Linked DNA regions of Macaca fascicularis. The protein of the gene in region 2 purifies or fractionates together with the protein of the main gene of each other region. This does not show direct contact. Links are inferred from orthologs where the notes say so. Each region holds a gene or a part of one and is shown on either strand. Other genes may lie near its edges.

The links.
Region 1: the proteins of MYCBP2 (region 2) and FBXW7 purify together in Homo sapiens (affinity purification with mass spectrometry; 6 studies listed by BioGRID and IntAct, counting the BioPlex papers as one, with this or other methods). This does not show direct contact. The link is inferred for Macaca fascicularis from reciprocal best matches to the Homo sapiens genes MYCBP2 and FBXW7.

Annotation. Positions count from the first base shown.
Region 1 is NC_088379.1:157,327,151-157,330,978, forward strand, and holds part of FBXW7 (F-box/WD repeat-containing protein 7), read right to left. Parts: intron 3,661-3,828; 5' UTR 3,592-3,660; coding exon 3,091-3,591; intron 1-3,090. UniProt on the Homo sapiens protein: Substrate recognition component of a SCF (SKP1-CUL1-F-box protein) E3 ubiquitin-protein ligase complex which mediates the ubiquitination and subsequent proteasomal degradation of target proteins.
Region 2 is NC_088391.1:68,187,625-68,191,452, forward strand, and holds part of MYCBP2 (E3 ubiquitin-protein ligase MYCBP2), read right to left. Parts: intron 3,410-3,828; coding exon 3,203-3,409; intron 2,382-3,202; coding exon 2,250-2,381; intron 327-2,249; coding exon 148-326; intron 1-147. UniProt on the Homo sapiens protein: Atypical E3 ubiquitin-protein ligase which specifically mediates ubiquitination of threonine and serine residues on target proteins, instead of ubiquitinating lysine residues.

The DNA.
Region 1 (3,828 bases), on a different chromosome or scaffold from region 2:
CTCATTTGTTTTTCATGTTAGTAGAAAATTAGTTGATATCTGCATAAAATATGTCAAAGATTCTTCAATATGAGCTGGGCATCTCTTCAGAAAACAATTTTTAAAAAATATATATGATAAGGATGTTGACAAAGGAAGTAAAAACTGAAGAGACAGACATTTATATCTGGAGAACCAAGTTGACTCTAGAATTTACAGGCTAGTCAAATTTAGAGGAACAGCCAGCACACAACCTCTGCTTTAAAAGCATGTTTTATGGATTCGAGAGAGTATGACCTCTATCAGATTTTTTAATAGCGTCATTTCTTCCTGATTACTTTAGCCTTGAGCTGTAAAATCTTCAATAGTGTTTTGTTAAGTGCCACAAAGAAAAGTAGTTAACTGAGCTCTCTGTCCTTTCTATAGGGTAGCTCTGATCACTTCAAATGGGACACAGTATTAGAAAATCATCACACGCCAGAGTCTCTATGACTATATTGGAAATCTTGTTTAGTGATGTTTGTCATATTCTACCATAGGGGGCAGCATAGTACATGGAAAGAGAAAGGGGTTTTTTGCAATTAGGCAAATCAGGATTAAAATCTCTCATCACTTAGTGTGATCTGGGGTGGATCATTTGGCCTCTCTGTAACTTTTGTTTATGTATCTGTCATAGGATCTTTCAAACAGTGTGAGCTTAATAAATAGCAATTCTTGACTATCACTTCCCTTGACTTTTAACATTAAGACAGTATGGAATTTTTAACATATATTGCTTGCCATAAGGCTCCCAAAAGAACAAACCTTTAGTGACAAGGGGGGAAAAACTGTCCTCAGAGTTTTGACAGTTTTCAAAATGCTTTCAAAGAATAAAGCAATGCAAGGAAGAATTAAACATCTTTTTTTCTCATTAATATCATATTTGCTTATGCAGCATATTTAGGGATGATGGATAAAATTCAGTCTAGCTGTCCACAGGGTTTGTTTATGAGAACGTCAAAAAATAAAACTTGAAAGGTATCCTGAGTAAAATTTGTAGAAAGCTAATCCTATATTAACATTTAAAAATGGGATTTCATTTCTTATGCCTCTACTCTCAAAAGTCAAAGTTTAAGACTTGAATGAAACTATGGTCTAGGGTAACGTCTGTAGAAGTGTCTTAACTTTATAATGATCAAGAATTTAAAGCTCTTCCAAAATAAAGTACTTGAACTAGTGAGAGCTTCTATTTATTGTATTAAAACATCTACAGACGGAGAATATTGACATTTTCTTTTTAGGTAAAGCAGTACTAAGCGACTTTTCTAAATGCTGTTGAAAGTGCTCCGGGAATACTCTGGCAGAAGGGTTTTAGGAATGGACAAAAAGGAAAACATTTAGAAAAATTTCAGACTGAAATCGTACTTATAGAAGGGCATCACTGTCCTGGCAATCAAATAGCTTTGTATTCTTCATGCCATACTTATGAAGGCAAATCATCTCATGATCAACAATATATCAAAAAGTATACATACACACTTATATAATAAATGCATATACACATCTATATTGTACATGTGTATATATACAAATGCATACACACATCTATCCCTGCTATGGTTAGGGCCCAGTCCATTCTTGTTATCTTGCATGTACAAGAATAACTGTTATTCCTGATTCAGAATCACTAGGAAAAAAAACTAACAAATTCAGTATACTTCGTTTTTAAAGAGGTAATCATCACACACATAAAATTTCTGTTAATGATTTTATCTTGAAGGTAAAGAAAAGATGAAGTACCTGTCAAACTTGTGAACTGGAAGGTTTCCTACAGAATATAAGGATGACTTTTCCTTTTGGAAAAAGATAAAGTTTTGTCTAACTAGCTTTTTTTGCTTTTAATTTAAAGTGTAGCAGAAATCAGCAATAACTCTGCATTGTTCTGCAAGGCTTAGTTTTGATTGAACCTCTTTCTGAAATAAGATAATGCAATTGGAACTTAAATATTAAACCCCTATTCCTCTAACTGAACCCTCAGGAAAAAAAGAGCTGTATAAACTCCCTTTTGATATAGTAACCTTGAAGAAGGGGATTAAGACTGGGGGGACAGAAGGGAGGAATGACACTATATAAGGTCTGAGCCTTAACAAAGCAGTGTATAGTTGTTAGCGGTAGAGCCATCTGGCTGAGATCCAAAGCTACTGCTTCAACATCTTGAGACAGGGATGATACAATGGATGAAAAATCACTACTTGATGTCACGTCCTTCTTAGATCATGCTAGCTAAATATAATCTGACTTGCAGACAGGCTAGGTAAATTAGGGCCAAACACATTTTAGAAAGTCAAGGTTTTACAAGCAGATGTAAAACATGATTTAGCAATTCAACTATTATTAATCCAAGTGTGTAAGACACTTCATTCCAAGTCAAGTTAGGTTAAATGATATGATGTCAAATCAGTTAAATCAGTTTGTATATTGTTTATGGCCTAAAATCACTGTAAAATGTAAGAAATAAGCAAGTAGGAGTAAGAGGATGAACTACCACAGACATTATTTTAATGTCTATAAAACAAGTAAGCTATTATTCAAGTTAAAATGTTCCTTTCCAAAATATAGTTTAACTTGTAAGTCTATTCTACATGAATATCCACTATTTCTAATTCTCAAATGATAAATAACTAGAACTAATTTGAGGCAACTTTTGAGTAATTTATGCCTTAGAGTGACACTTGTAAATAGACAGCCCACTCCAGCAGCTGCATTTTGTAAATAAAAAGCTTCTTCATTACTTGATTTACACAAATCATATTTCACCCAAAACCTCTACACCCCACACAAGCTACTAATCCCTGCCCGGAACTCAAGGTTTAGACAAAAATTTGATGTTAATAACTTTTCATAGTAATAGGCTCAATTACTTTCCCTCCATTTGTACTCAGATTCTCCCATTATCAGTATTTCTACTTGTTAATACTTTCCAATACCTTCTGTAAAACAAAAAACTAGTTCATTTTATTATTACATATCTTAAGATTAATTTTTAGTAATACAAAGACTGAGAGGAAAGTTTCATTACTTAAAATAGGTATGTAAAGTTTCTCAAGTTAACAATATAATGAATATACTCACTTTTGTGGTTTTTGTATAGAATGGGGAGGAGAGCTGGTGAACGGGCAGGTCCACAATACTACTGGAGTTTGTGACACTGTTACTATGTGTATGTTCATCTTCTCTGCTACTATCATCAGACTGATCAAAATCATCACTCTCCTGGTCCATCTCCTCCTCCTCCTCATCCTCCTCATCTTGTTCACCAGCATGTTCTTCATCTTCCTCTTGTTCTTCTTGGTTTCCTGAGGAGTCCTCATCTACTGAAATAAATCTATTATTGTTTTCTTCCAATTGTCCTTGCTGGGAATCATTTTGGCCTCCAGGTCTAGGTTCTACTCCAACAACTTCACCATTCCTTGCAGTGTGCTCCTCCTCTTGTTGTCTAAGTTGCTGTTGCTGTTCCTCCTCTACCACACGATTCATCTGTTCTTCATCTACCTGGCTTGAGGAAGGGTTACCTCTCAGAGAGCCTCCAGTTCGTCGTCTTTTGCTGCCCACAGAGAGCAGTTCCTGATTCATTTCCAAAAGCCAGCTTGCTACTTCTTGGACCTTGGCTAGACTATCAGAAGATGCAAAGGTTTTCACATTCTGCAGGGGAAAATAGTGGAAAAAACAAGATTTGTACAATCTATATTATGTTCTACTTTCATGTTATATGTCTACATTCTAAATATCATTAATGATTGCAAAAAAGTATTGATGCCACCAAGGCATTAAAATGCTTTTTAGTAAACAATATAGAACATTTCAATTTTA
Region 2 (3,828 bases):
TCTTTATATGAATTTGTACGAGTATGTGCTAAGAAGATACACTGTATAATTTAATTATAATTATCCACTTAGCAATTTTACCTGGTAATAGACTGTGTATGTTCTACCACTGTAAACTATTTCCCTTATCTCTATACATTCACCCACCTATAGTAGAGTATCTGTGGGATCTGTCCTCGGGTTTGGTTTGTGCCATTACTGCTCAAGCTGCACGTGCTGAATGTGAACGTCACACCATCAGGGCACTGAACTGTGGTCATTCCTCCATCTCCATTGGCTGTACGGCTTCCATAGTTCCTCAAGCGCACAGCATATTTAACATTTTCCTTCATTATAAAGATGTAAAACATGTTTACATTTATTCACAATGTACAGAGGATATACAAAAAGAACTCTAGCAGTAAAATAGGCAAATATACTGAAATTTCTTATCATATTTACAGATGATACAAGTTTTTAATGAATCAAACATGATGACAGCTAATATTTACTGAATGCCTGTTGCATAAAAGCAACTGTCCTAAGTACTTTATGGAATTCAATTAATCCTTAAAATGGCTTCATGAGGTAAGTATCATTATTATCCCTATTTTACAGATGAGGAATCTGAGGTTCAGAGAAGTTAAGTAATTTGTTCTAAGTCACACAGCTAGTAAGTGATGGAACTAGGTCTGAACACAACCAATGTAACTAGTGCCTGCTCGTAATTTTACTGCTAGAATATTAGCCATAATAATTTTTCTTTTTTTTTTTTTCTGAGACAGGATCTTGCTCTGTCACCCAGCTGGGAGTGCAGTGGTGCAATCCTGGCTCAATGTGGCCTCCTCTTCCTGGGCTCAAGCAATTCTCCCACTGGTGCGTTCCATCACACTCAGCCAATTTTTTAAGGTGTTTCTGTAGAGATAAGGTCTGACTATACTGCCCAGTCTGGCCTCAAACTCCCAAGCTCAAGTGATCCTCCCTCCCTGGTGTCTCAAAAGTGCTGAGATTACAGGTGTGAGCTACTGTGCCCAGCAATACGAGATTTTAATTGCATAAGCTGATACTTTTCCTTGACTAGTTTAACTTTTAAAATAATTTTAGATGTGAGAAAAAAATAAGGGTGACTCTGCTATATTTTTAAGAAAATCTCAGAGATAGAAATTTATAGGCAAACAGACATGAGAAAAAAAAACCCACAGGAAAAAAGCTGTCCAAAATATAATGCACTGTACTTTGAAAATGTGAGCTATAGAAACTAATGCTTTATGAACCATGATATAAATTTCACAATAAAAGCTTTTTGGTTTTTCAGTATCTAAATTCTTCCTGATGAAATCTCTCATGTACCGATCTTATCCAAAATTTTGTCCTATAATGAAATTTATTTCAGTTGAATTCAGAAATACTTTAATGTTACTTTAACATTTATAATTACTTTGATGTGGTAAAATTTCTCTATTTTGCCAAATATTGTTAGAAAATAGGCTGGGTGTGGTGGCTCACGCCTGTAATCCCAGAACTCTGGGAGGTTGACGGGGGTGGATCACTTGAGGGCAGGAGTTCGAGACCAGCCTGGTCAACACAGCGAAGCCCCTCTCTACTAAAAATACAAAATTAACTGGGTATGGTGGCACGTGGCTGTAATCCCAGCTACTCGGGAGGCTGATGCAGGAGAATCATTTAAATCCAGGACGTGGAGGTTGCAGTGAGCCAAGATCATGCCACTGCACTCCAGCCTGGGTGACAGAGTGAGACTCCATCTCAAAAAAAAAAAAAAAAAAAGAACAAAAGCAAAACAAAACAACAAAACAACAAACAATAAGAGAAGAAAAGACAGGGCTAATGCTTATTTTTCATACTGTGCTAGACACTGAGGCAGGTGTTTTATTTCTATTATTTAATCTCAAGAATACTACAATGCAGGTATTATTCTTTCCAATCTACAGATAAGTCTCAAAGTGGTTAAATAATGAACTCAGTGTCTTAAAGCTAGTATGTTGGAACAGCAGGTATCCAGAGTTTAATCTGTTTGACTACAAAGCTTCCTACTACTCCAGACTTTAAGAAACATTATACAAAAATATAATATAATGTGGTACAACATCAGGTACATAGTAGGTACTCCATAAATATCTGAAGTACCTACCATATAAAGGATAACTTACGAATAGCTGTATCTAACAAACAAAATTCATGGAATACTCTTCACTATTTTAACTACATAATAATTCTTCTTATTCACAATAGAAACATACAGTTGAAACTACCTTTAAAGGAACCACTTTGTCAAGTCTGATTTCAGCTATATCACTGGGTGAGTCATCTGTTGTGTAAGTTCCTTTCACTAATTCCAGAGATGTCCATCTGTGGGAATGAGTTGAATCTCCAGCATGTTCACTCTAAAAAAAAAAAGGAAACAAAAAAATCAAGTTAGAGATAGAGATAAACTTGCTATTTACTAGGCAATGATTTACATGCTACCCCTTTCTGTCCTATTTTAATAAAACTCCGGTACTTTAAGTAATTTTAGAGAATGGATTAGAAAGATATAGCTGAATTAGTACTCTATGACATCTGAACATTGTGTTTCTTGAAAAATTACAATATAAAAAAAAAACTACTCAAGACTTGTCATCAGGGACTTAGCTAAATAAATTTTAGTCTTTAATTCCACTTTAAATCTTTCTCTTTCTGAAAGTACAAAAAATATAAGCAGTAGTGATCCAAGGTGGAAAGATGGAACACAAGCAATGAGGTAAAATCATTATCTTTCAGTTTCTTTTCTTTCTTTCTTTTTTTGAGACAGGGTCTCACTCTGCTGCCCAGGCTTGAGTGCAGTGGCATGATTATGGTTCACTGTAGCCTCAACCTCCCGGGCTCAAGTGATCCTCCCACCTCAGCCTCCAGAGTAGCTGGGATTACAGGCGTGCACCACCACACTCAGCTAATATTTGTATTTTTCATAGAGATGGGGTTTTGTCATGCTGCCTAGGCTGGTCTCAAACTCCTGTGCTCAAGTCATCCACCTGCCTCAGCATCTCAAAGTGCTGAGATTACAGGTGTGAGCCACTGTGGCCAGCCTTTTTCAGTTTCTTTAGTGTCATTCATCTGTAATTGATCTAGTAAACCCCTGAAGGTATGGACCCATCATACTATGACAATGGTAAATCCTGATACACAACCCACTAATCAGGATAAATGCTGAAAGGGTGATACTTACATCATCAACCAAGACCTCTAATTCATATTCATGAATTCCACCTCCTCCATAGACAGAGAAACCAACTACAACTATTCCAGGTTTGTCTACTGAAAAACAGATTGCATCAGGGGACCCGTTCCCAGTGTTCCAGCTTCTGCCCTGACTTGTTTTTGTAAATCGGTTAGCACTAGCTTTTACAGAGTGAAGAGAATTAAGTCCATCAACCTGTGGACAACAAAAGCAACTGCATCAGTAGTTTGTACACCTTTAACAAAACCATCCAAAGGTTTCTAAGAAGTCTAATAAAATAAGCTTTATTTAATAAGTGGGTATAAGCATTTCTAAACGTATGTTCTACTGAGAGATTAACTCACAATAAAACCAGATTTTATCATTCTAAATTCACAAATCAGTGTCACTTGACAGTATTTTCTTCCTTCAGCCATATGAAACTATATTTTCCACTTAATTTATAACGTTAGAAGTACAAGCTTGTCTTATCAGTCATAATGTATGAATAAATCACTAGACTTTGAAAAGAGATGCTAAAAATGTCATCGAAATTCTATAGATCAACAGTTTTCAAACTATGCGACATAGAGCTCTAGATATTCTGCAGAGAAAGGTATGCAAGGAAGAGGTAA